Elephas maximus indicus: one gene and its partners. The protein of the gene in region 1 interacts with the protein of each later gene in a pairwise test. Links are inferred from orthologs where the notes say so. Each region holds a gene or a part of one and is shown in the gene's direction. Other genes may lie near its edges. The genes, in order: TLE5, NTAQ1, HNRNPF and cone-rod homeobox protein.

Evidence for each region.
Region 2: the proteins of TLE5 (region 1) and NTAQ1 interact in binary tests that used the Homo sapiens proteins (3 or more experiments, as listed by UniProt). The two-hybrid records come from large-scale screens. The link is inferred for Elephas maximus indicus from reciprocal best matches to the Homo sapiens genes TLE5 and NTAQ1.
Region 3: the proteins of TLE5 (region 1) and HNRNPF interact in binary tests that used the Homo sapiens proteins (3 or more experiments, as listed by UniProt). The two-hybrid records come from large-scale screens. The link is inferred for Elephas maximus indicus from reciprocal best matches to the Homo sapiens genes TLE5 and HNRNPF.
Region 4: the proteins of TLE5 (region 1) and cone-rod homeobox protein interact in binary tests that used the Homo sapiens proteins (3 or more experiments, as listed by UniProt). The two-hybrid records come from large-scale screens. The link is inferred for Elephas maximus indicus from reciprocal best matches to the Homo sapiens genes TLE5 and CRX.

The regions. Positions count from the first base shown.
Region 1 is NC_064821.1:6,146,855-6,154,264, reverse strand, and holds the start of TLE5 (TLE family member 5), read left to right. Parts: upstream 1-4,404; 5' UTR 4,405-4,522; coding exon 4,523-4,549; intron 4,550-5,595; coding exon 5,596-5,693; intron 5,694-7,410. UniProt on the Homo sapiens protein: Transcriptional corepressor. Acts as a dominant repressor towards other family members. Inhibits NF-kappa-B-regulated gene expression. May be required for the initiation and maintenance of the differentiated state.
Region 2 is NC_064833.1:19,443,633-19,451,077, reverse strand, and holds the start of NTAQ1 (protein N-terminal glutamine amidohydrolase), read left to right. Parts: upstream 1-4,433; 5' UTR 4,434-4,541; coding exon 4,542-4,630; intron 4,631-7,445. UniProt on the Homo sapiens protein: Mediates the side-chain deamidation of N-terminal glutamine residues to glutamate, an important step in N-end rule pathway of protein degradation.
Region 3 is NC_064834.1:6,680,479-6,688,424, forward strand, and holds the start of HNRNPF (heterogeneous nuclear ribonucleoprotein F), read left to right. Parts: upstream 1-4,940; 5' UTR 4,941-5,025; intron 5,026-5,351; 5' UTR 5,352-5,417; intron 5,418-5,635; exon of another isoform or gene 5,636-5,732; intron 5,733-7,946.
Region 4 is NC_064829.1:101,073,877-101,081,368, reverse strand, and holds the start of cone-rod homeobox protein, read left to right. Parts: upstream 1-4,491; coding exon 4,492-4,591; intron 4,592-6,348; coding exon 6,349-6,500; intron 6,501-7,492. UniProt on the Homo sapiens protein: Transcription factor that binds and transactivates the sequence 5'-TAATC[CA]-3' which is found upstream of several photoreceptor-specific genes, including the opsin genes.

The DNA.
Region 1 (7,410 bases):
AGGAGCGCCTGGTGGATTCCAACTGCCAACCTTTTGGTTCACAGCTGCAGCACTGAACCACTACGCCACTACCTAGTGCTCCCCAAAATCCCAACTCCTCAGCCCAGGATGCAGGGCCCTGTATAGTCATGGCTCCTGGCCCTCTTCAGCCAATACCTCCCACCACACCTGCTTCATGGCCCACCTAGGTCAGTGCCGTGTTGTGGTCAAGGACTCCAGTACCAGTTGCCATTCCGTTGACCCCGACTGCTGGCAACCCCCCGTGTTGCAGAGTAGAACAATGCTCGATAGGGTATTCTTGGCTGTGACTTTGCGGAAGAAGATCACTAGGACTTTCTTCCGAGGTGACCTGGGGTGGTTCTGAACTGCCAACGTTTTGGTTAGTAGCCAAGCGCTTAGCTGTTTGCGTTACCCAGGGAGCTCATAGGTTTAAATCCTGGCCCTGCCACCTACCAGCTGTGTGACTTTGGGCAAATCTCTTAACCTGTCTCTGCCTTGGTTTTCCGATCTCTAAAATGGGCATGATGGCAGTATCTAAGCATTCAAGCACTTAAGACAGACCCTGGCGTGTAATAAAAATGCATACATATGTTGGTTGGGGTATTATTTTTCATAGTTTGGGCCACACTTCCGGGCTTTTCTATATACTTGAAAACCCCTTTCTTCTGAAAATTACTTCTTCAAAATTCCCCTTCTTCAAAGGCAAACTGTGGGTCCCTCTCTAAGGCCCAGCCCTCGGGGCTGGGTATGTCTGTGTCTGGCTAGAGGCTCCTAAGATGGGAGTGTGCCCTGGTACTGGCAGGTGCCTGCCTAGATGAAGATCAGATTCAGGTGGTTTCCCAGGAGAAAGGGGTCCAGTCCCTATGGCAGGGCTGGAGGAGGGGGCCAGCTTCCTCTGCTGTGACCTGGAAGTCACCCAGGGCCCCGAGCTCAGGAAGACCCCTTAAAACTGTCTTTCTGAGCTCACCATCTTAAGGTCCCTGGATAGCGCAAACGGTTTCTGTTTGAATCTACCCAGTGGGGCCACAGAAGAAAGGCCTGGCAACCTGCTTCCACAAAGATGACAGCCAAGAAAACCCTACAAAGCAGTTCTACCCCGTAACACGCAGGGTTGCCATGAGTCAGAATGGACTCGTCGGCAATGGATTTGGCTTTTGGTTTTTATCACTGTCTTGAAATTCTTGATGTTTTTCAGCAAGAGGTCCTGCATTTTCATTTAGCCCTGGGCCCAGCAAATTCTGTAGCTAGCCCTCACCAGTATGATTTATGGGTCTGCTTATTCCAGAACCCCACAAGAATATGGAAGAATTTGACAAAAGTTCACTCGGTTTCTCTTAAGGCGTCAGTACTAGGGCAGGAGTGCACTTTACGTGACTCCAATCTTTTCTCACCCCGATCTGGGCTCCCTCAGAGCCTTCTTTAAAATGCTGACACTTTGTCCATCCCAGATTTCTTTGCATTTTTAAAAAATATTGCATTAAAATATTATTTATCTTGACTTTTGAGGTTTTTGTTTTGGAGTTTGGGGGGGTGTCCCCTTCAATTTTGCCCACTCATGTCACTCTAGTCCCAGTCCCTTAACTGCCAGAAAGGAGATGGGTTCTGATGCTCCATTTTACAGATGGGAACACTCAAGGCCCAAAGGAGTTACATTCACAGCGGAGGACGCCTACATAGATGATGATGACAGTTAACGGACCCTGTCTTTAGCGTTTTCCAGGAGCCAATCTGAAGATACGTGGGTGGTGCAGATGGTTTCCAATCAACCCTGCTGGTGGAGTGCTTAAGAGCTCACCTGCAAACCAGAAGGTCGGCAGTTCGAATCCACCACCCACTCCTTAGAAACCCTATGGGGCAGTTCTACTCTGTCCAATAGGGTCACTACAAGTTGAAATCCACTCAACGGCAATGGGTGAACCAACTGAAAGGTTGACGGTTTGGAGCTCACCCAGTCACACTGAGGAAGAAAGGCCTGGCAATCTACTTCCGTAAAGATGACAGCCAAGAAAACGTTACAGTGCTCAGTTCTAAGTCTGTAACACATGAGGTCACCATGAAGTGGAATTGACCTGATGGCTTAGGGGCTGATGTTAACGCGCACGTCATTTCAGCAGCCTCTTCAGGGTCTGTTCATGCGGTAGCCGGAGTTGTTGTTGTTGGCAGGTGCCATTGAGTCCGTTCCGACTCAGAGCGACCCTATGTACCACAGAAGGAAACACTGCCCGGTCCTGCGCCATCCTTACAATCCTTGTTATGCCTGAGCCCATTGTCACAGCCACTGTGTCAATCCACCTCATTGACGGTCTTCCTCTCTTCCGCTGACCTTGTACTTTACCAAGCATGATGTCCTCCTCCAGGGACTGGTCTCTCCTGATAACATGTCCAAAGTATGTAAGACGCAGTCTCGCCATCCTTGTTTCTAAGGAGCATTCTGGTTGTACTTCTTCCAAGACAGATTTGTTCGCTCTTTTAGCAGTCCGTGGTATATTCAATATTCTTCGCCAACACCACAATTCAAAGGCATCAATTCTTCTTCAGTCTTCCTCCTTCATTGTCCAGCTTTCACACGCATATGATACGGTATTCATAAGGTTTTCACTGGCTAATTATTTTCAAAAGTAGACTGCCAGGTCCTTCTTCCTAGTGTCTTAGTCTGGAAGCTCAGCTGAAACCTGTCCTCCATGGGTGACCCTGCTGGTAGCTGAATACCGGTGGCATAGCTTCCAGCATCACAGCAATATGCAAGCCCCCCCGCCCTGCCCACGGTACAACAAACTGACAAACACTAGGGGGGCAGCCGGAGGGATACTGTCAAAACCCAAGTCAGGGAGTCAGGGCCCCTCCCTCCCTTTCTCCTCTGCTTACAGCCCTCCAAAGAGTCCCACCTCCCTCAGGGTCAAAGCCCGAGTCCTCCCCACACTCGTGAGGCCCTGTATCATCTACCTCCCTGCCCTCACCTCCCTCTATGATCCACTACAGTTTGCGGGGCCCAATGCCCTGGTGACTCAGTGGTTAAGCACTCAGTCCGTAGTTGGAACCTACCAGCGGCTCTCAGGGAGAAAGACGTGGCAGTCTGCTTCCATTAAGATTACAGCTTAGAAACCCTATGGGGCAGTTCTACTCTGTGCTATAGGGTCGCTATGAGTCAGAATCGACTTGCCAGCAATAGGTTTGGTTTCTTTTTGTTTTTGTTTTTTTGGAATGCAAATCAAAACTGCAGATCACCTTGTTAAAAAAATCAATAATTTTAAAACGGTCACAACTAAGCATTAAACCAACCCTGGCCCTTTTAGGTATAATGTCTTGGCTACTGGGTGATGCTGGTACTCATCGCTTCCCAGGCTCCCCGTGTGCCAGGCACAGTCCTGCCTCAGGGCCTTTGCACTGGCCATTCCTGCCTCCTTGAGCACGTGCCACCTCTATGCCCCTATTGGCTCCCTCCGTCATTTTCTTCTGGTCTTTCTCAAATGTCCCCTTCTCAGGGCAGCCCTCTCTGACCCCCCTGTTTAATACTGCACCCCTTTATGTCCACCTGACGCCTCAGGGTTGTGGCCTCAGGATTTGTTTCTTTTCTGTCACATGTCATCTCCACAAGGGCATCTGGACCCCACCCCACCGCCTGGAGCAGGGCATGGCACACAGTTGGTGTGTGCCGTGGAGTCGATTTACGACTCATGGTGACCCCATGTGACAGAGTAGAACTGCCCCATAGGGTTTCCTAGGCTGGAATCTGTAGGGAAGTGGATAACCATGCCTTTCTCCCTCAGAGCAGATGGGTAGGTTCCAACCTCCCACCTTTAACCGTTGCCACTAGGGCTCCTGGCCACACAGTAGGCGCTCCATAAATGCTCACTGAAGCAACGACTCTTCTGAGGGCCGCAGGTTCCCACTTGCCTTTCCACAGCTGAGGAAACTGAGGCTCAGAGACACCAGCCACCGTGCCAAGGTCACGGAGCATGTGGGTGGCACGCGTCCAGGGCGCGCCATTATAGGGCCTGCGGTGTAGACCAGGGCAGCCTGGCCCCTTCCTCTGACAGTTGGGGAAACCGAGGCCCGGCGAGCCGCCACGGCCAAGGGGCCAGGAGGGGGCCGGGGGCTGAGGCCCAGAGCAAGGTCACGGCCCGGGCGGCGGCGGGGGTGGGGCGCCGCAGGGCTCCCCGGGCGCGCGCCCCCCCCTCGGCGGCGCGCACGGGGCAGCGGCGGCGGCGGCGGCGGCAGCAGGTGGAGCCGGAGCCTTCGCAGCAGCAGCCCGGCCGCGGCCACTCCGGCGGCGCCGCCATTAGACAATAGGAGCGGCGGGTGCGGGCGCGAGCGGGGCGGGGCGGGCCGCGCAGGAAGCGGGCCCGGGGCGCGGCGGGCCGGGCGGGGGCGCAGGAAGCGGCGAGCCGGGCGCGCGAGGCGGCGGCGGCGGCCCGGGAGCGGCCGATCGGCGCCGGGACAAAGGCGCGGCGCCCGGCGCCCCGAGCAGCCCGAGCCGGGGCGCACAGCCGGGGCGCAGCCCGCGCCCCCCGCCGCGACTGACATGATGTTTCCACAAAGCAGGCATTCGGTAAGCGGGGCCCGCCCGGCCCGCCGCGGCCCCCTCCGGCTCCTGGCCTGCACCCCCCAGCTCCTGGGTCTACACCCCCCCCCCACCTCCAGGCCTGCACCCCCCCAGCTCCCGGACCTGGCACCCCCAGCTCCAGGCCCTACACTCCCCCACAACCCCGACTTCCTGGGCCCAGTTTCCCCCAGCTCCTGGGCCCAGCGCCCCAAACCCTAGCTCCCAGCGCGCTGCGCCCCTACTCCAGGCCTGATACCCTCAGCTTCCGGGTCCTGGTCCCCCCCCAAGTTCCCGGGCCCGGCGTTCCCCCCCAGTTCCTAGCCTGGTGCACCCTCCCCAGTTCCCCGGCCCAGCCCCCCCCAGCTTCCGGGCCGGGCCCCCCCACACTTTCCCAGTCCAATCTCCCGAAGCTCCCCAGTCCTGTACCCCCTTTCCTGTACCTCTCCAGCTCCGGGCCCCCCCCTTCCCAGCCAGGCCGGTCCGTAGGCGGTCTTGGCCTGGTCCTGGGAGCTCCGGGAACCCTGCTGGTCACCCCTTGCTCTGGGGCTGCTTGGGGGGCCTGGAGTGGGGGGGGCAATCCTCCCGGAAGAGCGTGGCCTTGGGGAAGGACTCTGGGGACCTGGAGTGTGGACCCCTGAAATATTATGGTTGCTGGGAGACGCCCCTCCCCCAAGGGGACTTTGCAGTGAGGCCTCGGCCCTCCAGGTGGTTGGGGCGCTCCGATGCGCACCCCCTTCTCTGGGCGCTTTGGAGGGGTGGTAGGGGGCGCATCCTGCCCCCCATCAAGGGCAGGCTTTAAAACGCGCCCCCACAGCCTCGGGGGTGGCGGGGGACGGGCGGCTCCAGGCCCACCCACCCCCTCGGCTTCCCCCGGGAGAGGCGGGGGCAGGAAGCGGGGGCGGCAGCCGCGCCAGAGGCTGTAAACATGGGCCCAGGAAGTGGGGCACGAGGGGGGACGCTGCAGCTGCGGCGGCAGCCGCCCCCTGGTCACCCCGGGGAAGGAGGAGGCAGCCCAGCCTGCCTGGCCCTGAATTGCGGCCCCCTCCTCACAGGGCTCGTCGCACCTCCCCCAGCAACTCAAATTCACCACCTCTGACTCCTGCGATCGTATCAAAGACGAGTTTCAGCTCCTGCAGGCCCAGTACCACAGGTGAGCCAGGGGTTGGGGGTTATCTGGAATGGAGATTGCCACCCCCATACATCTACTTTAAAAATATGGAAATAGAGGGTCATATGTATGCCAGCTTCTAGCCTAAACACGTGGCTAGTAAAAACCAAACCTAAATCTGTCCGTTGGATTCAGACTGGTAGTGACCCTATAGGACAGAGTAGAACTGCCCCATAGGGTTTCTAAGGAGCTGCTGATGGATTCGAACTGCTGACCTTGTGGTTAGCAAGCCCAGCTCTTAAACATTGCACCACCTGGACTCCACTTGGCCAGCAGTAACATTTATTCTTCAAATTGACCCTATTTCACAGATGAGAAAAGCGAGGCACAAGAAAGTTAAATGACTTACCCAAAAACAGGTCTGTCTGGCGTCAGAGCCCTCCCCCAGTCCTCAGTAGGTAAAAGACCTCCAAGTCCAAGAAGGACCCTCCGAGTCCAAGATACCCCCCCAAATTTTTTTTTGCAGTCTTCTCTTTCTCTGCCGTTTTGGGGAGAAGGCTCCTGGCAGATTCTCAAAGGAGGGTCTGCCTCCTGAATTGAGTCTTCTAACATTTCTGAAGGGCTTGCCATGTGTCAGGTTTAAGCAGAAGGAACTGTTATTGACCTTGTTTTCTACATCAGGAAACGAAGGCTCAGAGAGGTTAGAGATTGCCTCAGGGTAGACAGCAAGGAAGTGATGAAGCTTAGATTTGAACCCAGTCTCTCCAGGGCTAAGAATGCAAGTTCTCAACCCTTTTGCTATGGAGGGGTCCTCACCTGGGAATTAGAAGTGGGTCCCATGGCCAGAAATCCTAGTGGGGCTGAGACTTTCTCTGGACCTGTTTTCCCACCCACAAAAATGGTCTTCAAAGGATCCTGGGTTTTCTGCAAGAAGAAAGGGGAATAGCGATTTATTTTTATTTTAACAAATATGCAATCTTTTTGTTCACTCATTCTTGCAGTCCTATTACTGTACCCATTTTAGAGATGAGGGAACTGAGGCACAGGGAGTTGAAAGGTCTGAAGCAGCTCGCCAGACAGGCCCCAGGGACTTTGCATTAGTCCTGCCATGTGGAGGGTTTGGGGGCTTCACCTGACCTAGGCCCACCTCATGGTCATCAATCCCAGAGGCCGAGGGCCAGAGGGCAGGCCAGACCCCCTCTGTCAGCTTTGGGTTCTCCATCTACTGGGCCTGAATGTCCTGCTCTACTTTGGGGGGTTCTGCCATGTCAGGGTCACACACAGGATCAACCAGACAGAATGAGGCCTTCCTCAAGAAGGGCCAGAGACCCAGCGTTTCGAGTAAGATTGCTTTTTTTAAACTGCCAACGAACGCACGTTTTTAAAGAAAATAAACTTTGTGGGGGGCAAAGAAACTCCAGCTGTGGATCACCTCTGAACTGTGGGATGTTGTGACCTGGTCAGCCTGGTAAGATCCGTGAGCACTTATTGAGTGCTTACTGTATGCCAGGCCGTGTTATCCAAGCTTTACTGTCTTAATTTATTGAATCTGTACAACCCCACCCTGGGAGGTTGGTACTTAACAGAGGAGGAAACCGAGGCTCAGAGAGGGAGAGGAATTTGCTCAGGGCCACAGAGCATGGAAGGGCTGAGCTATGAACCCAGTCCTTCTGGCTGTGGTATGATGGGAGTGGCTGAGGTGGGTATGGAGGGACAGCCAGTCCGTGGGGACCCCCTACTTGCTTCGGTCTAAATAGGC
Region 2 (7,445 bases), on another chromosome or scaffold:
TCTGGCCAACTGACTGGAAGAGATTCATATTCATGCCCATTCCAAAGAAAGGTTATCCAATGGAATGTAGAAATTATCAAACAATATCATTAACATCACATGCAAGTAAAATTATGCTGAAGATAATCCAAAAACATTTGAAGCAGTACATCAACAGGGAACTGCCAGAAGTTCAAGCCGATTTTGGAAGAGGACATGGAACGAGGGATATCATTGCTGATGTCAGATGGATCTTGGTTGAAAGCAGAGAATGCCAGAAAGATGTTTACCTGTGTTTTACTGACTATGCAAAGGCATTTGACTAGGTAGATCATAATAAATTTTGTGGATAACATTGGGAAGAATGGGAATTCCAGAACACTTAATTGTGCTGATGAGGAACCTGTACATAGACCAAGAGGCTGTCGTTTGAACAGAACAAGGTGATAATGCATGGTTTAAAATCAGAAAAAGCGTGCGTCAGGGGTGTATCCTTTCACCGTACTTATTCAATCTGTATGCTTAGCATATAATCTGAGATGCTGGACTATATGAAAAAGAATGGTGGCATCAGAATTGGAGGAAGACTCATTAATAACCTGCTAAAAAAAAAAAAATTTTTTTTTTTTTTTATATACAGGTGGGAAACCGTGGTGGGGTTATGGTTAAGAGCTTGGCTGCTAACCAAAAGGTTGGCAGTTTGAATCCACCAGGCACTCCTTGGAAACTCTATGGGACAGTTCTACTCTGTCCTTTAGGGTCGCTCTGAGTCAGAATCAACTTGAAGGCAAAGGGTTTGTTTGTTTTTTAACATGCAAATGGGAAACCCTGGTGGTGTAGTGGTTAAGAGTTCAACTGCTAACCAAAAGGTCAGCAGTACAAATCCACCAGGTGTTCCTTGGAAACCGTATGGGGCAGTTCTACTCTGTCCTACAGTGTCGCTGTGAGTCGGAATCGACTCGATGGCAGTGGGTTTGATTTTTTTTTAGTATACAAATGACAAAACCTTGCTTGCTGAAAGTGAAGAGGACTTGAACCACTTACTAAGGAGGATAAAAGACTACAGTCTTCAGTATGGATTTCATCTCAACATAAAGAAAAAAATCATCGCAACTTGACCAATAAACAAAGATCATGATAAATGGAGAAAAGATTGAAGTTGTCAGTGATTTCATTTACTTGGATCCACAATGAATGCCCATGGAAGCAGCAGTCAAGAAATCAAACAAAGTATTGCATTGGGCAAATCTGCTGCAAAAGGCCTCTTTAAAGTGTTAAAAAATAAAGAAACTTGAAAACTAAGGTGTACCTGACCCAAAGCCATGGTATTTTCAATTGCTTCATATGCATGTGAAAGCTGGACAATGAATAGGGAAGACTGAAGAAGAATTGATGCCTTTGAATTATGGTGCTGGTAAAAAATATTTAACATACCGTGGACTGCCAGAAAAAGGAACAGATCTGTCTTGAAAGAAGTACAGCCAGAGTACTCCTTAGAAGCCAGGATGGCAAGAGTTCATCTCACGTACTTTGGACATGTTATCAGAAGGAGCCAGTTCCTGGAGAAGAACATCATGTTTGGTAGAGGGTCACTGAAAAAGAAGAAGACCCTCAATGAGGTGGATTGACACAGTGCCTGCAACAATGGGCTCAAACAGCAAGGATTGTAAGAATGGTGCAGGACCAGGCAGTGTGTTGTTCTGTTGTGCATAGGGTCTCTATGAGTCAGAACTAACTCGACGGCACCTAATAACAACAAGAATATACAGTAAAACCTACAGAATCCAGAACCCGTGTAAGATGGAAACCTGTCAGAGAAAGAAAACTCAAAAATTTTTCACCAATAGACAGCTATAGAAAAGTGGTATGACTACACTCTTTCACAGGTGGAGAACTGGCAAGACTGGGAAAAATAAGGCAGTCCCCTAGAGTTCCAGCTCTCACAGGTTTCACTGTATATTGAAGTGTGCATTGGGAACTAAGAGGCAATAAATTGATAACTGATACAAGAACCTATGCTCAAAGTCTTTAGGTCTTTCGGCCTTTAGGACTCATGAGGTTTTGAGAATCTGACTCTAGACGGCCTATAGACCAAACTGAGAATTTCAGCTTGTATAATGAGACATTCTCTGATCAGCTATATATGTTCATTGCAAATATAAACAATACAGAAGGCTATAAACTGTACAGTGAAAGTCCTTGATAATGGGCATGGATTTACCAGAGACAAATACTGTTTTAACACTTTGCTATCTTTCCTTCCATACCAAAAAAACCCCAAACCCATTGCTGTGGAGTTGATTCCAACTCATAGCGACCCTACAGGACAGAGCAGAACTGCCAGGTAGGATTTCCAAGGAGGCTGGTGTATTGGAACTGCTGACCTTTTCGTTAGCAGCCTAGCTCTTAACCACTGCGCCACAATGTTGCCAATTGCCAATCTGACACAAAGGGTCCTTGCCTTTTCCTGAGTACCAATACACGCAAAAGACAAACTTTACCTTCGACAAGCTTTATTTTGCTTGAGTCAAGCAGAAGGAGTCAGCAGGGATCTAAGCCTCTCTAAAATACTGACTTGAAGAGGGAAGCAAAGCTAGGGCTTATATGGGTTCGGTGGAGACAGTGAAGTAACGAATATTTAGTGGGCTTCCTTCAAGGGGCAGATACTTCTCAGAATGGCGGCGCATGTTAATTAAGTTGCCGGCACATCTGGAATCCAAGATGGAACCCGCTGATGTTCAAGGTGGAGTCCTCTCAGCAGCTCTTGGCATCACTTACTATGGGATTATAGTGCAGGCGCACTGATCTTTGGCACTACATCACCATCTTTGGAGGGCTAAGGAAGGGTAAACAGTGGCCGCATTTTGTTCTTCTGAGCCTGTAAAGGGGGGAGGGACTAGAAAAACACTAAGAAGGAGAAAGTAGTTTACAGGTTGTTTCAGCCTTATTTCATGTTGACATGGTGTGGTTCCTATTTATCCAACTTCTAGATGGTAATCTTTTAACAGTGCTTTCCTTCTGCCAGCACAGTTAACCCTACCTGTCTCACCAAACCAAAAAAAAAAAAAAAAACCAAACCCAGTGCATCGAGTTAATTCTGACGCATAGCAACCCTATAGGACAGGGTAGAACTGCCCCATAGAGTTTCCAAGGAGCTCCTGCCAGATTCAAACTGCCAACCCTTTGGGTAGCAACCCTAGCACTTAACCACTATGCCACCAGGGTTTCCCCTGTCTCACCAGGGCTCCAATATTGGCAGCAAACAATCCAATAGATGTTCAATATCATGGGGTTGGCAACCAGTGTCACAAAACAATGTGTATTAATTGCTTAATGAGAAACTAATCTGCTCTATAAACCTTCATCTAACGTACAAATTAAAAAAAAGAAACAAATACATGTTTAACACAAGGATTCCATGCGGACTGTTTAACTTTTTTTCTTTTTTTTTTAACTTAATATATCAAGGTATCAATACGTCTTTCCAAGTCAGTATATACAGACTTCCTAATTAAAAAAAAATTAAGGTACAATATGGTTTGATTTGGGGTGATATCCCTCTCTAAAACTGTCCTTGATGTGGTAATATTTGGAATTCCTCCTTCTCTCTTCTCCCCCAGGCTCCCAGTGACTCTAGGCTGGAAGTCCTAAAGCTTAAATTTTCACACAAAGGTTCTCTTATTTCATTTGCACACGTCGAAAGTCTTTGGCGTCTCATACAGTTCTCCGAAGTTGGCAACCCCGTTCCCGGTTGGGGAAGGGTCTCAGACACCTCCGGGAAACTCACAGCGAAGCGCCACCCAGGTTGCAGGTTTAGCAACTCCAAGCCTTCCCCTGCCGACTCCTCTCCTCAGCCGCCCGCTGGTGACCTCTCTCTGCCCAGGCATCCAGGACCCCCCGCGTTACTGTCCCTGGCAGCACCCCTGTCCCCGCTCAAGACCCCGCCCAGCAGGAACCCGCGCCGCCAGCTCCGCCCCTCTAGGAGTCCACCCTCCGGTCCGCTCTCCACCTACACAGAACAAGCACCGTCAGCATCGCCCCGGACTCCACCCACCGCTAACTCACGCCGCTCACCTCGTTCCGGATCCGCCCACCTCACCCCTGGCTCCACCCAGAAGGAACCAGCACTGTCCATCCTCCCCACCCTGAGCTCCGCCCACTGGCTCCACCACCCGGAAACTGCGCCCCCTGACTCCGCCCACCCACCCCTGACCTGCGCGCGCCGGGAACTTGCGCTGCTCTCCCCGCCCCGAGCTCTGGCCGCACAGCCCTGGGCTCCGCCCCCCTCACCCGGCTCCACCACTCGGAAGCTGCTCCGCCCACCCCGCCCCAGGCTCCGCGCGCCGAGAGGTTGGGCGGCTAGCCCTACCCAGGCCCTGCCCTGACCCCGCCCACTCTTCCTAGCCTTGACCGCTCCGCCCTGGACTCCGCCCACCCGGCCGCTGGTTCTCGCAACAAGAACGAGGGCAGGCTCCTCCCGTGGCTCCTCCCCGCGAGCCCTCTGGATCGGTGCAGCTTGTCTGCCTGAGGCCCGGCCCCGGCCCCGGCCCCGGCCAGCCGTCATGGAAGGGGATGGTCCCTCTGCCGCCGCCTCGTGGTACCAGCCGGCCGGCCCCCCGCGGGAAGCGTGTGTCTACAGCAGCTGCTATTGGTGAGGGGAGCGGGCGCAGGTCCCCGAATCTCCCAGCCTCAGCCGGGCTCGCCTCGTCCAGGCCCCTCCTCTGGAGCTCGGGGCCTCCTCTGGAGCTCGGGGCCTCCACTGGCCGGTTTTCCTGTTTCGGAGTGGAGGGAGCGGGAACGGCAGCCCTTGCCGCTGGAGTACAGCGTGGGCAGTAGGATGAGGGGGATTGGTCAGGAATGGCAGAGTCGGTGGTGGTGCCTTACTTCTGGTTGGCGGTTTTTGGCTGGACTTAAGCAGATCCTAGTGGGAACGGGGAAGTTAGAGGCTGAGGGTGGAGCGCAGAGAACCCTTGCAAGCTACTGTGTGGAATCCTGTATGGTTTCAGATCGATGTGAGGGCCATTTTAAGAGTATAGAGGCACAGAGTTCAAAGCAATTTTCCGAGGGTTACCAAGCTAATAGCAGCCAAGAATCCAGTCCATCCCCTCTTGCACTAGAAACCATGGTCTTAACCACTGTGCTGTAACAATAATAACTGTTACACTTACATTGTACTTGCTACATGCCAAGCGTTGTTCTGGGTTGTTTATGTCGTCTAATTCTTTTGAGTCTCACTGGCAGGTAATGTTATTAAAACAAACAAACAAAGCAGTTGCCATTGAGTTGATTCCCACTCTTGACCCCACATGTGTCAGGGTAGGACCGTGCTCCACAGGGGTTTCAATGGCTGACTTTTGCCAAGTAGTTTGAGGTACTGTTGTTACACCCATTTTTTAAAATGAGGACATTGAAGTACAGAGGGGGACAAGTAATTTGCCTAAGGCCACCGTCTTAGTTATCCAGTTCTATAAAAGAAATACCACAAGTGGATAGCTTTAACAAAGAGAAATTTACTTCTTCACATTAAAGTAGGCTAAATGTCCAAATTCAGGGCATCAACTCCAGCGGAGGGCTTTCTCTCTCTGTCGGCCTTCTCATTACTCTTCCCCCAGACTCGGAGCTTCTCTGTGCAGGGACCCTGGATTCAAACAACGCGCTCTGCTCCCAGCACTGCTTTCTTGGTGGTAGGAGGTGCCCTCTCTCTGCTCGCATCCTTTTCCTTTTTGTCTCTTGAGAGATAAAAGGTGGTGCAGGCCATATCCTGGGGAAACTCCTTTTATATTGAATCAGGCATGTGACCTCGGTAAGAGTGTTACAGTCCCACCCTAATCCTCTTTAATCTAAAGTTAAAATCACAGAATGGAGGACAACCACACAATACTGGGAGTCATGGCCTAACCAAGTCGACACATATATTTGGGGGACACAGTTCAATCCATGACATTCTTCATTTTGGTCCCCAAAAAATCACATCCTTGTAGCATGCAAAGCATATTTATCCCATTATATCATAGCAAGTCTTAACTCCAAGTCCAGCATCCAAAAATTCCTCTTCATCTGTGAAATGTAGAATGCAAGTTATCTGCTGACAAAGGTACAATGGCAGAACAGGCACAAGCTAGACATTTCCATTACAAATGGGAGAAACTGGAGGAAAAGAAGGGATAACAGGCACCAAACAAGTCAGCAGAACACATTATATTAGCCCTAAAGTCTTTGAAAAAATCCTCTGTTCTCTGAGACCATTTACAAAATGGCTCCGCCCTCTAGACTCTAGGTATTGGCCACACTTTCTGGATCCTGAGGGGAGGCCCCTCTGCCCTGGGCTTCAGCTCCACCTTCCACGCCCACTGGGACAGCAACTCTGCTCCCTCAGCTTTAGGCACGCCATTCTCCTAGTCCATCTGAGTGGTGACTCCGCCTTTAGAAACATCAGAGGCCATGGCTCCATCCTTTGAAATCCCAGAGGTCCTGGCCATATCTTTTGAGACTGAGGCAGCTTGGCTTCTTGTGTTCCTTGTCTGTTCAGCTTCTGCTTCCTGGTTTCTTGGCTTCTCGGCTCCTAGGGCCTCACGCCCACATCTGCCCTTCTGGGGCAAGTGTTCCAAAGCTCTGTAGCTCCACTGGTAAGTGCCCGGAGGCACCCCACTCCTCTAGGAAGCCTCTTGTGCACAGGCACTCAGCTCTCTCTCTCTGTTGGTCTGCTTCAGTGCCATCTTGCACTGGTCTCTTGGTTCTGCTGCTGCCAGGTCTCTGCTGCTGCTGGTTCTCTGCTGCAGCCACTTCCCTGCTGCTGCAGTTTCTTTGCTGCTGCCGATCCTCTTCTGCTGCTGCTCCTCTATTCATTCACAGTTTCAAAACTGCTTCCACATTTTAGGTATCCGTTAGAACAGCACCCCACTCCTGGTACCAAATTTTGTCTTAGTCATCTAGTGCTGCTATAACAGAAATGCCACAAGTGGTTGGGTTTAACAAACAAATTTATTTTCATCACAGTAAAGTAGGCTAAAAGTCCAAATTCAGGGTGTCAGCTCCAGGAGAAAGTTTTTCTTTCTGTCGGCCTTGTCATCAATCTTCCCCCAGACTAGGAGCTTCTCTGCGCAGGGACCCCGGGTCAAAAGGATGCACTCTGCTTCCGGCACTCCTTTCTTGGTGGTATGAGGTCACCTGCTCTCTGCTTGCCTCCTTTTCCTTTATCGCTTGTAAGATAAAAGGTGGTGCAGGCCACATCCCAGGGAACTCCCTTTACATTGGATCAGGGATGTGATCTTAATAAGGGTGTTACAATCCCACCCTAATCCTCCTTAACATAAAATTACAACCACAAAATGGAGGATAACCACACTACTGGGAATCAATCCCATCCAAACTGATACACATTTTTTGGGGGCCATAATTCAATCCATGACAGCCACTTAGCTTGTGAATTTAGGAATGGGGATTTATAGGCAGAGCCTGGCTCTAGA
Region 3 (7,946 bases), on another chromosome or scaffold:
GTTTCTTTGTAGACAAGGAGAAGCCCTACCCCTTCTCTTTTCTCCTCCCTCTCTCATTGCCACATTATTCCACCAATCCACTTTATTCCAATTCATCTTTTTACGTATGAACTTTTTTCTTCCTGTCGCAGGTCAGAAACTTTCAAAGTCAACATTATTAGTAAGAGGGATTATTATGAAGATCTCAAATTTATTCCATTTTTCCATGATAAAACTTGGAATTTATTTTTCATAAAGTATTCAAAATGTAAATGTTAGCAGGACACACTGCTGCTTAATAAACTCCAAGTGATAAAAAATACAGAACTTCTGACAAAAGCATAGATAATATAAAATGCTTAGAACGTACTTAGCTCTCAGAGGGAGGGCTGGAAGCCACAGGGCCTGGGCCCACACTTCTGTCCCCTACTTCCCAACAGAGTGAGACTCGGGAGCCACTGGCCAGCTCTGGCCTCCTTGCTCCCTTGCCATTGGGGAGCAGAAACTCTGCCCTGGGGAAGGAGAGGCAGGAGGAGGCTGGCGTTCAGAGGGGAATATGGGGCTGAGGCCCAGGCCTCAGTGCCAGGCTCCCTCCCACCCATCCAACCATGGTGGTTTTGAAATACAAGCTAGAGTAGCAAGGAAGCAATGGTCTGTTAGTCAAATTTTTATTACTTCCCTGTTCCCAACGCATCAGTGCTTCCCACTGACTATATATTTATAAGGATAATAATCAACATAAAACAGAATCCCCACTTTTCACTTCTCTGCCACCTGTGTTCTGACATCAGCTGCCCATGCAGCACTTCTTCCTCCAACCCTAACCACCCAGAGCTAGGTCAGACCTCACAAGTTAACGGACACAGTCCTCAAGACTGCCAAGGCTGCCCAAGACATCAAATGCCAGCCCCAGCTCCCCAGGGCTCCCATCACTTCTGACCTGCTGGCTACAAATCCGGGGGTGCCCTTTATACCCTCAGGATACCAGCCATAAGCTCAGGCATTCTCAGCCCCTTCACTTCTGACCTGCTGGCTCCCACTACTCCCTTGGGCTTGAGAATTCGATGGAACGATTCACAGCAAGCACTATACCATGATCCCAACTTTATTACAAAGAATACAAATCAGGATCGGCACAAAGAAAAGACACATAAAGGGAGGCCTAGGAAGGTCTCCAATGCGAAGCTTCCATGTCCCGAGAAGGGACTAGTTACCCCCCACTTTCATTAACCGGAAAGCCCACGGAACTTCAGTGGCCACAGCCTTTGTCAGGGTTCATTGAAACGGCCGTCTCCCTTGAGGTCAGCTGATACCACAAAGTGGTCGTTCTGGTTTGGCAATCCCCTCACTTGAGTCACACATTAGCATAAACTCTCAGGTGTGGTCTGAAGGCCTATCAACAACGACCCAAACAATACCAAATCCACTGCAGTGGAGTCAATTCCAACTCATAGTGAGACCCTATAAGACAGAGTTGAACTGCCCCATAGGATTTCCAATGCTGTAAATCTTTCCTGAAGCCAACTGCCATATCTTTCTCCCTCATAGTGTCTGGTGGGTGCGAACCAGTGACCTTTTGGATAGCAGGTGAGGGCTTTAGCCACTTGCCGCCATGGCTCCTACAGATAAAAACAGCACTTCAATTTCTCAGAAATTCCAAGGGTTTAGAGTTATTGCTCAGGAAACAACAACAACAAAAAAAACAAACCCAGTGCTGTCAATTCCGACTCTCAGCGACCCTACAGGACAGAGTAGACCTGCCCCACATCCTCCAAGGAGTGCCTGGCGGATCCGAACTGACGACCCTTTGGTTAGCAGCCGTAGCACTTAACCACTACGCCACCAGGGTTTCCTATTGCTCAGGAATCAAGGATAAAGACCAAAATTACTTTAAGTTAGTGTGGAAGGAGCTCTGGTGGTGCAGTGGTTAAAGTGCTTAGCTACTAACTAACAGGTTAGTGTCTCAAACCCAGCAGCTGCTTCAAAGGAGAAAGATATGACAGGCTGCCTCCATAAAGATGACAGCCTTGGAAACCCTGTGGGACAGTTCTCCACTGTCCAATAGGGTCACTGTGAGCCAGAATAGACACGATGGCAATAAGTTTTTGGTTTAAAGTTAAGGTGGAGCCCCTGGCTAGAGGTTCGAGTCCACTCAAAAGCAGTGCAGAAGAAAGGCCTGGCGATCTTCTTCCAAAAAATCGGCCATTGAAAACCCTACGGAGCACACTACTCTGGCACACGTGGGGTCACCATGAGTCAGTTAATATAAATAAACCCCAAAATACTGTTTCCAAAATTTCTTAAAATTTGAAATATTTCTTCATTCAAAAACTGTATTATAGTAAGTTAAAAATCACATCACTGGTTTATCTGTAATCTTTTATCCAAAAACAACTAAATAGGGCAAAATGACAACACTTTGAAAAATTGTTACAATATTATCTGTAACTTTCCCTATGTGTTAAGTATTCCATCATTTTCAAAAAGTTAGTTACTTAGAGAGAGAGACAGTTGGAGACGGAAAACTGCAAGCCGCCCCAACCCCCAGCACATCTTGATCCACATGAAGTTTTCTGACGGTCCTGAGGGTCTGCAGAGGTAAAGGCATCCAACGGTTAATAATGGGAAAACTCATGATTGGACCAAAACGCTGAAGACTTGGAATAGAGACAGAGCTAGACCTCGAGTCACTAACGTCCAACTCATTTCACTAATGTGCATGCCAAGACTCCAGTCTCTAGCCCAGCCTGCCTGGGAAATGCGCAAGGGAACGGTCCCCAACTTGACCAACGTTACCCAGTCCACCGCGGTCTGCTCTTGTGCAAAGCAACCAGCTCAAGCAAATACCCATCAAGCACGGGGAGTGCCGTAACCCCTCTTTCACTATTTGACACACATGAAAGTGCTGTTTGGCTGTTCCCTCTGAATGAACTGTAATTAATCCAAGGGTCCAGCCTTCATGCTGATGCACTCCGTGAATAAGCACTGGTGCTGCTTTCAAAACCAAAACCCACTGCCATCAAGTTGACTCCAACTCACAGCCATCCTAAACAGAGTAGGACTGCCCCATGGGGTTCCCAAGGGTGTAAATCTTTACAGAAGCAGACTGCCACAACTTTCTCCTGAGGAGCAGTTGGTAGGTTTGAACTGACAACCTTTTGGTTAGCAGCTGAGTGCTTTAACCACTGCACCACCAAGGGGCAGGCAGTGCTGCTTCAGAGGAGCATTTTTCTGTGTTGGTCCAGAAAGTTAACCAGACCATGCTATGACTGCTAAACCTGCCTGCTTCCTATCTGCAAAATGAAAGCTGAAATGGGATAAAACCCTGGAAAATTTATTACAACTTCTGACTCCATTAGGCAGGGATCTTATCCCTCGCCACTGCCTAATAGAGCACCTGGTCTTAAGGAGCGATATTTCCTTTGGACGGGGCCTATACTGTAACTGGACAATTCAATTTGCTTTCTCATTTCCTTCATTCTCTCAGATGGGAAAGGGAGGCAGAGAAGGGCTTTGTTTATGAGCCAGCCTTAAAGTCCCGTCTCTTTGTGGGACCTAGAGTGTGCCTTTCTGCAACATGTGCTGTGAAGGGAGTCTTTCTGGGGTTTCTTATTAAGAATACCTATTTAATTTTTGAGGAGCCCTAGTGGTGCAGTGGTTAGAGCTTGGTTGCTAACCAAACGGTCAGTAGTTCAAATCCACCACTCTTCAGAAACCCTATAGGGCAGTTCTACTTTCTCCTATAAGGTCACTATGAGTCAGAATTATACCTCAAATTAATTTCCTCCTCACATCTGCACCTCCTCTGACACCTGCATTTTCTATTATTTTTTTCCCTGGAGCCAGCTTCTTTTTTAACTGCACTCCTTTCTTCATTATGGCCATCCACTCATAATATGACACAATTCCAAGCACTCCCTTAATTTTTTCCTGTAAATCTGCTTACCCTGTTGATAAATACCTTATATCTTCCCTTTATGAAGGCAGTTCCAAAAGTGGAACCTGTCAAGAAAATCGGAAACCCTGGTGGCGAAGTGGTTAAGTGCTATGGCTACTAACCAAAAGGTCAGCAGTTCAAATCCACCAGGTGCTTCTTGGAAGCTCTATGGGGCAGTTCTACTCTGTCCTATAGGGTCGCTATGAGCCGGAATTACACCTCAAATTATTTAATTTTCCGGCTATGAGTCGGAATCGACTCAACGGCAACGGGTTTTCTCGATCAAGACAATCTGCTTCACTGCCTCAGGCAGAGTAGCCATTAACCACTCAGTCCATCGGCTCCGGGGCTCTGTGATTCCGAGCCACGGGACACGTGGGCAACGTCTGTCAGACTGACTAATCCGGCTTTAAAACCTAGCACTCAAAGACGCCTTTACTACGCCTCAGGTGTTCTGTCTCCTCTCTCAGCAAAACTTATTTTCTTCTCTCACGCGTCTATTCACTGCAGGGCTCCTTTGGGCTCTTTTTTTTGTTTTCATCGGGGATAATTTTTAACCTAGTCCGTATCCTCCAGGGCTTCGGCAGTGACCAGTGGGCCACTTCCCTCCCCTGAGTAGGGCCTGGCCCGTCCCGCTACGCCTCTCCCCACAACGTCCCTGCTCCGGGCGGCCGCTTTCCGGAGTGGCTCCCCCGAGGCCTCGGCCCCAGCAGGCCAATCGCTAGCTCCGCTCTGGGCGCGTCACAATGGCGCGCTGGCGGCCCCAGCCCCGCCCAGCTCCCAGGAGGCCTCGCGAGCGGAATAGCCCGCTAAACCCCGGTCGCGCGCGGAAGGAGAGCGGGTCGAGTCCACAGGGAGGGGGCAGAGCCAAGGAGCACCGTCCAGGTCATTGGACCAGAGTGCCTCAGCGTCTCTCGTCTCCGCCGGCATCAGCCCCGCCCCACGCCCGCACGGCCAATCGCCTGCTCCGCTACGGGAACGTCACAATGGCGCCCTCGAGGCCCCGCCCCCTAGATGCCCGCCCCGGAGGCCCCGCCCCGCCTTGGTCCTTTCCTTCTTCCGGCTCCGCGGTGGAACCAGGACTGCGTCGCGTCTTACGAGAGCTGAAGGTGGGGATCAGCGAGGGGGACGAGTCCGCGGTCTCGCCAGCAGTCGGCAGACGGGCGAGGGTGCAGACTTCCAGGGCTGCCGCTCTCAGGAGCCTAGGGTGTGGGGCCGAGCAGGGGCCGGAGACGCCGATGGTATCGGGGCCTCCCGGAAGCCGCGGGTGCGCACGACGCGGCGGGAGTTGTAAGCTCGTGCCCGCCCGCGCGCTTGGCCCCGCCCCCTGGGGGGGCGTCCGGGCGCGCTCGCAGGGGTTTCCATGGTGATGGTAAACAAGCCTCAACTGCCTCTGGTACAACTGCCAAGTCCACCGCGTTCCACCCTTTTCTAGGTACTCAGGCAGGACGAGGGAAGTGCCGGATGTGAAGAGCGAGAGCGTGGAGTCTCCGAGCCCGAGGTGAGGGGCGACCTGGGGCGGGACAGGGTGGGGGGCCCGAGGTCAGGGCGCTCACCCGGGGGCGGGGAACTGGGAGAATTGGGCGTGGGGGCTGCGGAGCCGAGATTAGGCGTGGGGGCGGGGTCTGAGGTCAAGGGCGCACACCCGGGGACGGGGCGGCAGGGACGGGCCAGCAAGGGGTGGGGACTGTGGGGGATTTAGCAATCGGTAGGCGGGGTCCATGGGCCCGGCGGGAAGGGCTTGAGTTCGCGGCGGAGAGCAGAGAGTGTGCGGAAGGCTCCGGTAAGGCCGCGGCTGGCGGAGCGGACTGGAAGGGTGAGTAGCCAGGCCCGCCACTTGTGGGGTGCGGAGCCGTAGTCGGGGAAGGAGTTCGTTCTTCTGAGGCAGGCAGCACATGATGGGGGTTCAAGTGTACGACTTCACTGTGGGAAACGGCAGCTCCGCCCTCCTCCCCAGCTCTCGCTCTCCCGGGAACCATTTTCAGCCCTTGGAGACTTTTTTCCAGAGCCTTCTCTCCTCAGGGGCCCCGCTCTGGGCCCTTCCGTCTCTGCGTGTCTCGCTGTTCCGTGGAGGCACCGTTTTTCGGATGTAAATCTTTGGTGCTTGTCTTTTGCCTCGTGAGCGCAGTTTTGGTGAGAGTTCAGTCAGCTCCTTGTTTCTCCTTTACTTGGTATCTTTGAACGTACTTTCTGCTAAGAGACTCGCGGACGCCGCAGCCCGCGCTCTGGTCGCCCTTCCCGCCTCAGTTGAGCGCAGAGCGGTCTCCTCGCGTCTCCACTTCCGTTTCCTCGTCCCGCTCCCTCCCCGCCGGGACAGTGGCTGCCGAGCCGGCCTGCGGGACCCTGGGCCTGGCGCCTCCCTTCATGCGAGTCCGTTTGCTATAACAGACGCGGGTGCTGATGAGCATGATGGCGCCGGCCGCCCCCGCCCCCACCCGACCCGACCCCCGCCCCCGCCCCGGCGCCCGGCCCGCCCGCGGACGCGCGGTTTTCGCGGCCTGGAGCCACGCGGGGAGCGGGCTCGGGGACGGCCCCACTCTAGGCCTCGCTCCTGGTCCTTTCGGGAGGCCCCGGGCCGGCGCAGCCGCTCGGAGGAGCCGCCTGGCCCCGGAGCCTGGCTCCCGCCGGAAGAGGCGGCCGCGCCGTCTGGTGGGGGAGGGGCAGGGCGCCCGGCCGCGCCGTCTCCCTCGTGGCGCCCTCCGTCCGCATGACTTCTGGGGGCGCCTCGGCCGGCCGGTGCGCGAGTAACTCGGCCGCGGGAGGGCCGGGCGGGTTCGCTCCTCTAGTTTCCGCAGCTGCTTGCGGGGCTCTGGGGCTCCTGGCGGCTGCTTGGACTCTGAGGGCGGGAGGGCCTGCGGCTCGTGGCCGACCGAGGTGGGACCGCCCGGGGTGGCCCGGCCTGGACGGGGCCGCAACCTGCTGGCGCGGGGAGAGTTGCGAAAACTACAGATGACCTTTTATAAAAAAAAAAAAACACCGAAACTGATTGTAATATATTTTCAGTGCGTGTTTTTGAAAGTTTTTAGTAAGTGAAAATATTCCCGGCTCTTCGGTTAGACAAAAGATATGATGTATCAGTGAAAAGTGATACTTACGGTGCTCATTTTTAGACAAAATTTTTTTCATTTCAAGATAAGGAGTAGGTTTATTTTAATCAGTATTGGGAGAGATTAATTACTGACATTAAATCCATGCTTCGCTTTGAGCATCTTTTATTCTTGTATACCCAGTGCATATTTATAAATTGAACGTATTGTTTATATGTTGTAATCTATTTTTTTCTTTGATAATCTTTACTTTTTTGTTCCTTTTTTTTTTAAGCTTCCAAGTAACTTTTTCTTTCAGTTAAGGCTAGTATTAAAAGCTTTCCTTTAAACATAAAATATTCAAGTAAAACTATGAACTGATTTAAGGGAAGGAGTAAATGGGAGGGTTTCCCCTCGCGTGTGGCCAAACCGTGAAGGAAAGAAAGGCTCAAGACTCGATCCTCTCGGGGTAGGTGCCTGGAGGGGCTATGGGGACAGGAGGAGACTTCAGTGTCTAGCCTGTCCTCAGTGGCTGCCCCTAGTGGAGATAAGGCCCCGGCGTCGGAGGCGGTGACATCGCGCCAACCCCTCCCCCATCACCTGAGCTGTGGCGCTGTACTCTTTCTAGAACCACGTTAACTGACGCTTACTAGGCCTAGGCACTCAGCTGTAGGTTTAACCGCATTTTCTAATACTCATACAATGTAAGCGAGGTACGCTGTTAAAACGGCGGCTGGGAGAAAAGTTATTTGCCCAGGGACACAGTTGGGACAAGGACTCAGGTTGGCCTAACAGGGCTTCCTTTCCCCGGTGACAGCTGCCCTGAGCCTGGCTCTTTTTGATGGGCAGGTAGAGATTAGGGCCCAGCCTAGTTTATTTTACATTTTAATTTATAAATATTTGAGCTTGTACTTCTAAGGATTTTTAAAAACAACCACATTAAAACAACTGCTTAGTATCAAATACCCAGTGTTCAGATGTCACTGATTGTGTAATGTTTTTAT
Region 4 (7,492 bases), on another chromosome or scaffold:
GCTGTGTATATTCTCAACAACAGCAGCAAAGAAATTATAATAAAAATTTTTTAAATAAAATATATTTTTATAAAATATACTTTATTTTTATAAAATAAAATTGAACATAGTAATACAGTCTCTACTTCTCAGGGTTGAGCTGAGAATTTAATAACATCCTGCATAGAGAAGGAAACCTAGTGGCTTAGTGGTTAAGAGCCATGGCTACTCACCAAAAGGTTGGCGGTTCGAATCCACCAGTGGCTCCTTGGAAACTCTATGGGTTACTCTTTCCTACAGGGTCGCTATGAGTCAGAATCGACTCCATGGCAACAGGCTTTTTTTTGGTTTTGCATAGAGAAGACTTGTGTAGTAGTTATCTATTGATGTGTAAATTACACCAAAATTTAGCAGCTTAAAACAATAAACATTTATTATTTCACAAGTTCTAAGAGTCAGGAATCCAGGAGTGGCTTAAAGGGATGATTCTGACTCAGGGCCTGTCATAAGGTTGCATTCAGGTGCTGACCATGGCTGTGGTCTCATCTGAAGGCTTGACCGAGGCTGGAGAATCCTCACAACATGGCCGCTGGTTTTTCCCATAATGGATGAGCCAAGACAGCAAGGCAGAAGCTGCAATATATTTTACAACATAGCCTCAGAAGTCACACTCTTGTCGTTCCTGAAATATCCTGTAGGTTACACAGGTCAGCCCTAATCAGCGTGGGAGGATATCACACAAGGGCGTGGATACCAGGAGGCAAGGATTATTGGCAGCCATCTTGAAGATAAGGAATGCTGATGGTGCAATGATTAAGTGCTCGGTTGCTAACTGAAATGTGGCTCTGTGGAAGAAAGGCCTGGTGATCTGTTTCCATAAAGGTTACAGCCAAGAAAACCCCATGGAGCTCAATTCCACTCTGTAACACACAGGGTCGCTATGAGTTGGAATTGACCGATGGCAACTAATACCACCACCACCATGCTTTAGGAACTGGGGATATAGCAAGAACAAAGACACAGCATCTCTGTTTTTGTGGAATTGTATTTCTAGGTTTCAGTCAGAGAACTGACAATGAAGAAGGAAACATCAGACAGTATTAAGAATGCTGAGGAAAATGAATCGGGGTGATGTGATAATGAATGGGTTTACTTACACCAGGGCATGGTAGACACTCAAAAAACATTTACTGGATGAACAGGAGAAACTCAATTGATGATAAATAAAAAATATCCGTCAAGAGAAGGATGAAAAGAACAGGGATGAGAAGGAATGGAGGGAACAGGTATTAAAATAGATGCCATCCATTTTTTATTCATTTACTTATTTTTCTATTATTTTATTGGGAGTGTTGGGAATACCGCAGGAAATGAGATAAGCCCAGTCCCTGGTCTCAGGTAGCTGACAGAGTGGAATGAAACGGACAGGTAAACAAACATAGAAATACATTATTTTTTTTTAATTTATTTTATTTGTTCTTGAGAATATACACAGCAGACCATACACCACCTCAACAATTTCTACTTGTACAGTTCAGTGACATTGATCACATTCTTTGAGTTGCACAACCATTCTCATCCTCCTTTTTCGAATTGTTCCTCCCCACCATTAACATAAACTCACTGTCCCCTAAGCTTCCTATCTAACCTTTCAAGTTGCCGTTGTCAATTTGATCCCATATAGTAGATGGTTCTTAAAAGAACACAATGCTCAAGGCAGACATTCTTTGCTAGTTAAGCTAAGCTATTGTTTGGTTTTAAGAAGACTTCAGGGGATATTTTTGGTCTAAGGTTTAAAGATTATCTCAGGGAGAAATATGTTATATATAACATACGCCATGTCCTGAAGGACAGGGGAGAGAAAATGTGTGCGTGTGTGTGTGTGTGTGTGTGTGTGTGTGCGGTCTCCAGTTTAGAGTATTGCATGGCTCCCTGGGAAATTATGTCTCAGCTGAGACCTGGAGGATGTGGAGGAGAAAGGGGGCTTAGAGTGGGAAAGAGTCATTCCTGATCTGTTGTTGTCAACTTGTGTCGTGAGTGTCATGCATGTCAGAGTAGAACTGTGCTTCATAGAGTTTTCAAGGCTGTGACCTTTCAGAAGCAGATGGCCAGGCCTGTTTTCCAAGGTGCCTCTGGGTGGGTTTGAATCGCCAACCTTTCAGCTAGTTGAGCGCTTAACCTTTCGTGCTTAACTGTTGGTAGAGCTATGTACTAGAGATCTTTTTAAATCAGTTCATGCCGAACAACCTTATTCTTTTTATTGGCTTCACAGCATCCCTTTGCATAGATGTGCCATAATGTACTTAGCTATTTCCTTTTTGGGTGGATATATAGGTTGCCTCCACATTTTGTCAATTATAAATATGTTTCATTAGAAATCCTAGTATTTACAAACCTCTTTTTGCAAATAACAATGACAAAAATAATCGCCAAGAGTTATATGTTGTTGTTGGGTGCCATCTATCTAGATGATTCTGACTCAGGGCAACCCCATGTGACAGAGAAGAACTGCCCCGAAGTGTCTCCTAGGCTGTAATCTTTATGGGAGCAGATGGCCAGGTCTTTTCTCCCGTGAAGCCTCTGGGTGGGTTTGAACCATCAGCCGTTTGATTAGGAGTCGAGCACTTAACTGTTTCGCCACCAGGGCGTCTAACAGTTGTAGGGCACTTGCTTTGTGCATCGGGTGCTATTTTATGCACCTTAAACATTGGATCCTCACAACAACCTAGAAATGCTAGATTCATCCCCATTTCACAGTGAGGACACTGAGGAACATCCTGGAGGCGAATTGCCAGAACAAATGAAAGATGGTGCTTTACTTTAATAAAAGCTCCCAGTATGTTCCAATTTCCTCTGCCACGCACCCGATAAAGGAGTGGAAAGTCAATACTGCTGTTGTCGTTAGCTGCTGTTGAGTCAGCCCCTGACTCATGGTGACCCTGTATGTTACAGAGCAGAACTGCTCCCTAGGGTTTCCTAGGCTGTAATCTTTATGGAAGTGGCCTTTCTTCCATGGAGCCGCTGGGTGGGGGGTTGAAGCACTAACCTTTGGGTTAGGCACCCATCTCAAACTGCTTGTGCACAGTGCACAAGTGCAACTATTTTGATCTTTGCCCAACTCATAGGTCAAAAACGGTCCCTTTGCTGTCGTTTTAATGTGCCTTTCCCTTACAGTGACCAGCCATCACGGTTTGTTGTGGGCTGTTCCAGTGTTAGCGCTGAAATCCCCACGTCATAGGAAGCCCCTTGTCCCAGTGGTCACCCTCGTCTCCTGGTGATGAGTGAGGCTGAATATCTTCTCCTGTGGTCATAAGGCAGAAAAGATCTTGGAGAAAGAAGTGGCAGAATCAGGCTTTTTTTTAAGGGTAATGTACACACAAGGAGCCCTGGTGGCGCAGCGGTTAAGCACTCAGTTGCTAATTGAAAGGTTGTCCGTTTGAACTCACCCACTGGCTCTGAGGGAGAAAGACTTGGTGATCTGCTCCTGTAAAGGTTAAAACCAAACCAAACCCGTTGCTGTCGAGTCAGTTCGATTCTATTCCGACTCCTAGTGACCCCATAGGACAGGGTAGAACTGCCCCGTAGGGTTTCCAAGGAGTGGCTGGTGGATTCGAACTACTGACCTTTTGGTTAGCGGTGGGTCTCTTAACCACTGCGCCACCACAGCTCACCTAAAAATAACAGCCTAGGGGGCAGTTCTACTGTCACATGGGGTCTATGAATCACAACCGACTCCATGGCATTCAACAACAACCAAGTACACACTGATTCCGTGTTTGTGACTCTGCCTCCTCGCTAACATTTTTTTGTAACCCCAAAGTCAATAGTTACGCTGCTTTTCAGGTCACTTGCGGACGTGCGCGTGCGCATGCACAGGGCAGAGGAAACTGGGTGGCTTGATGCGCACCTTTGCAATTGAGGTTGAACAAGGCTGGTTCTGTTTCCGCTATTTCAGCGTTCCAGGTGACTTTATAAACCGTACGCATAAAACCAAACCCGTTGCCGCGGAGTCAGCTCTGCACAGGACAACGGCAGTACTTTATTTCCAAGCAAAGTGACTGTAGGGTTACTGTGAGTCAGAATCGACTCGAGGGCAACGGGTTTGGTTTGGCTTGGTTTACAAAGTGAGCACTCAGTTATCTGTGGCGTTATCCTTTAACTGCTTTTTGTATTACGTTGAACTATATGGAATTGGTATTTCTACAGGCTAAACGTGAGCAATGTGGTGTTTCAACCGCATATGTCATGGGGTTGCCATGAAGCAGAAGAAACTCGCCAGCAGCTTGTCTTTTTTGGATGATGTCTTCAGCTCTCTGCTGAAACCTCAGTGAGGCTTCAATAGCCGGAAACACAGAGCTGTTTTGCAGTTGAGGAAATTAAGGCACAGAGAGGCGAAATCGATTGCTCAAGGTCATATAACTAAGCAGAGACTCAGGTCATGGGCAAGCGTTTGAGCTTCCCTGTTCTTCTCTTGCAGGCCCCCTGACCTGGAGCCCAGCATCCTGGAAGATCATGATGGCGTATATGAACCCGGGGCCCCACTATTCCGTCAACACCTTGGCCCTGGGTGGTCCCAGTGTGGACTTGATGCACCAGGCTGTGTCCTACCCAAGTGAGTACAGTCATCCAGGCCACCCCAGGCTGACCCCACCTCTTGGGGGGGGTTCTTGGGGGTCTCTTGCTCTCTTTGATGAGCACCTGCAGGGGTGACATCAAGGCCATACACCAGCTGTATGTGTCTGTCTGCAAATGCAAAACAATACCACGTGTCACTTAGAAGTCGTTAGTTGCTGTTGAGTTGATTGCTACTGATGGCAACCCCAGGTGTGCAGACTAGAACTGCTCCATAGGATTTTCAAGGCCTTTTGGAAGCAGATCACGTCTGTCTTCCAAAGCACCTCTGAGTGGGTTTGAACTGCCAACTTTTAAGCTAGCAGTTGATCGCTTAACTGTTCGCATCCCCCAGTGCTGTCAAGTTGACTGAGACTCATGATGACCTTACATACAACAGAATGAAATGTTGCCCGGTCCCACATCATACTCACGATCGACAGCATATTCGAGTCCACCGTTGTGACTATTGTCCCAGTCCTTCTCACTGAGGGGCTCCTTCACCCTCATTGGCTGTAGATTTCACCAAACATGATGTCCTCCTCCAGTGATTGATCCCTCCTGATGATGTGTCCAAAGCAAGCCAGTCAGACAATATTCTGTTATGATCCAGGAAGTTTTCACTGGTTAATATTCAGAAGGAGATCACCAGGCCCTTCTTCCTAGCCTGTCTTAGTCTGGCAGCTCCATAGAAACCTGTCCACCATAGGTGACTCTGCCGGTATTTGAAATACTGGTGACATAGCTTCCAGCATCATAGAAACACACAAGCCACCACAGTAAGACAAACTGACAGATGGATTGTTGACAATTCACTGCTTAGGGATGTGGAAAAGCATAAGGACATTCACAGAAATTTCGGATGGCGGCTCCCTCTAGGGTGGGGGTGGGGACAGCAGCCTGGATGGAGAATCAAGAAGAATTTATATCTGTTAGCAAAGCAGCAAGGAGCTCAAACATAGCAACGATTGCGAGGATGGCGCAGGACCGGGCAGTGTTTTGTTCTGTTGTACACAGGGTTGCTATGGGTCAGAACTGACTCGACGGCACCTAACAACAGCAGCAGCAGCAGTGCTTTATTTCTAAGCCCAGTAAGCACTCGGTCATTTGTGGCATTATTCTTATACCTGCTTTTTGTATTATGTTGAACTACACGGAATCGCCATTCTTATGAACTAAAATTGGTTGAACATCAGCAATGTCATATTTCAGCTGCGCAGTACTAAGATGTTGTTGTTGTGTGCTGTTCAGCTGATTCTGACTCATAGCGACCTTATAGGACAGAGGAGAACTGCCCCATAGGGTTTCCAAGGCTGTGATCTTTATGGAAGCAGAATGCCGCATCTTTCTCCCTCGGAGCTGCTGGGTGGGTTCGAACCACAACCATTCCTTCGTTTAGCAGCCGAGTGCTTAACTGTTGCACCACCAGGGCTCTCTGCATAAGTTTTAGTGCATAATAAATTTCAGAAGGGGAAAGAAAAACTCACGTGCCTCCTTACACGGCTAACACCAATTTCTCTCAGGATGAGGCCTGAACCCCAAAATGAAAAAAGTGTACCCCATTTTCTGGGGGACAAAATGAGGTCTAGAAGGACAGGGAATGGGAGCATCCATAGTCTGGACAGATAGACACCCAGAAAAGGCTTCTTGAGTCCCCACCCGACCTCACAGCCTCACCCCAGCTGTCCTGGCACCCATAGAGGACGAGAGTGGGAGGCTGGGTTGCCTGAGCGCTTCATGTTCCTGTTCCCACCTCAGGCGCCCCAAGGAAGCAACGGCGGGAGCGGACCACCTTTACCAGGAGCCAACTGGAGGAGTTAGAGGCCCTGTTTGCCAAGACCCAGTATCCGGATGTGTATGCCCGTGAGGAGGTGGCTCTGAAGATCAACCTGCCTGAGTCCAGGGTTCAGGTGGGATGTTCTGGTCCCTGGGCTCCTCCTGGACCATATAAGACTTCCATGGACCTTTCTGGTACCCAGGGGAGGGCGGAGGGAGGGGTCATAGAGTAACAGCCAACATTATGAAGTGGCCTAAAGCCTCCTCCCATTATTTTACTGATCTCTCTTGCCACTCTCACCCTTTCTCATTTTACTCCAGCCACACTGACCCCTGGATCTTCCTCTAATGTGCCTTCTGAACATTCGCCTGCCTTAGGACCTTTGCACTCTCTGTTCCTGCTATCTGAAATGCTTATCCCTCAGATAACCACATGGCTTGCCCTATCACTTTGTTTAAGTCTTTGTTCAAGGGCTGTTTTATTAATGAAACCTATACAATACTGACTATAGGGTCGCTATGAGTCGGGATCAACTCAACGCCAATGGGTTAGGTTTTTTTTGGTTATACTGACTATTGCACGTAAAATTGCAACCTTCTACCACTGCAGTCCTTCTGCTCCCCCTTATCCTGCTCAGTGGTTTCCTTCCATAATATTTATCACCTCCAAAAATACAATATGATTTACTTACCTACTGTTTATTTATAATTTGTCTCCCCCAACTAGAATGTCAGTTCCACTGAGGTATCCACAAAGGAGCAGAAGATGGTTAACAATGTCTATAGTTTATTAAAGGATTCCTGGTGGCACAGTGCTGAAAGGTTAGCAGTTTGAACCCACCAGCTGCTCTGTGGGAGAAAGGTGTGGCAATCTTCTCCCATAAAGATTTACAGCCTTGGAAACCCTATGGGACAGTTCTACTTTGTCCAGTAGGGTCGCTATGAGTCGGAATCAACTCAGTGGCAATAGGTTTTTTTTTTTTTTCATAGTTTATTAATTCATGCTTATTAACTGATTGAATGCATGCACAGATGGATGGATGTATGGATATTATGTATGTATGGGTAGATAAATGTATGTATGTATGACTGATGGATGGATAGATGGATATATGTGTGACTGAAT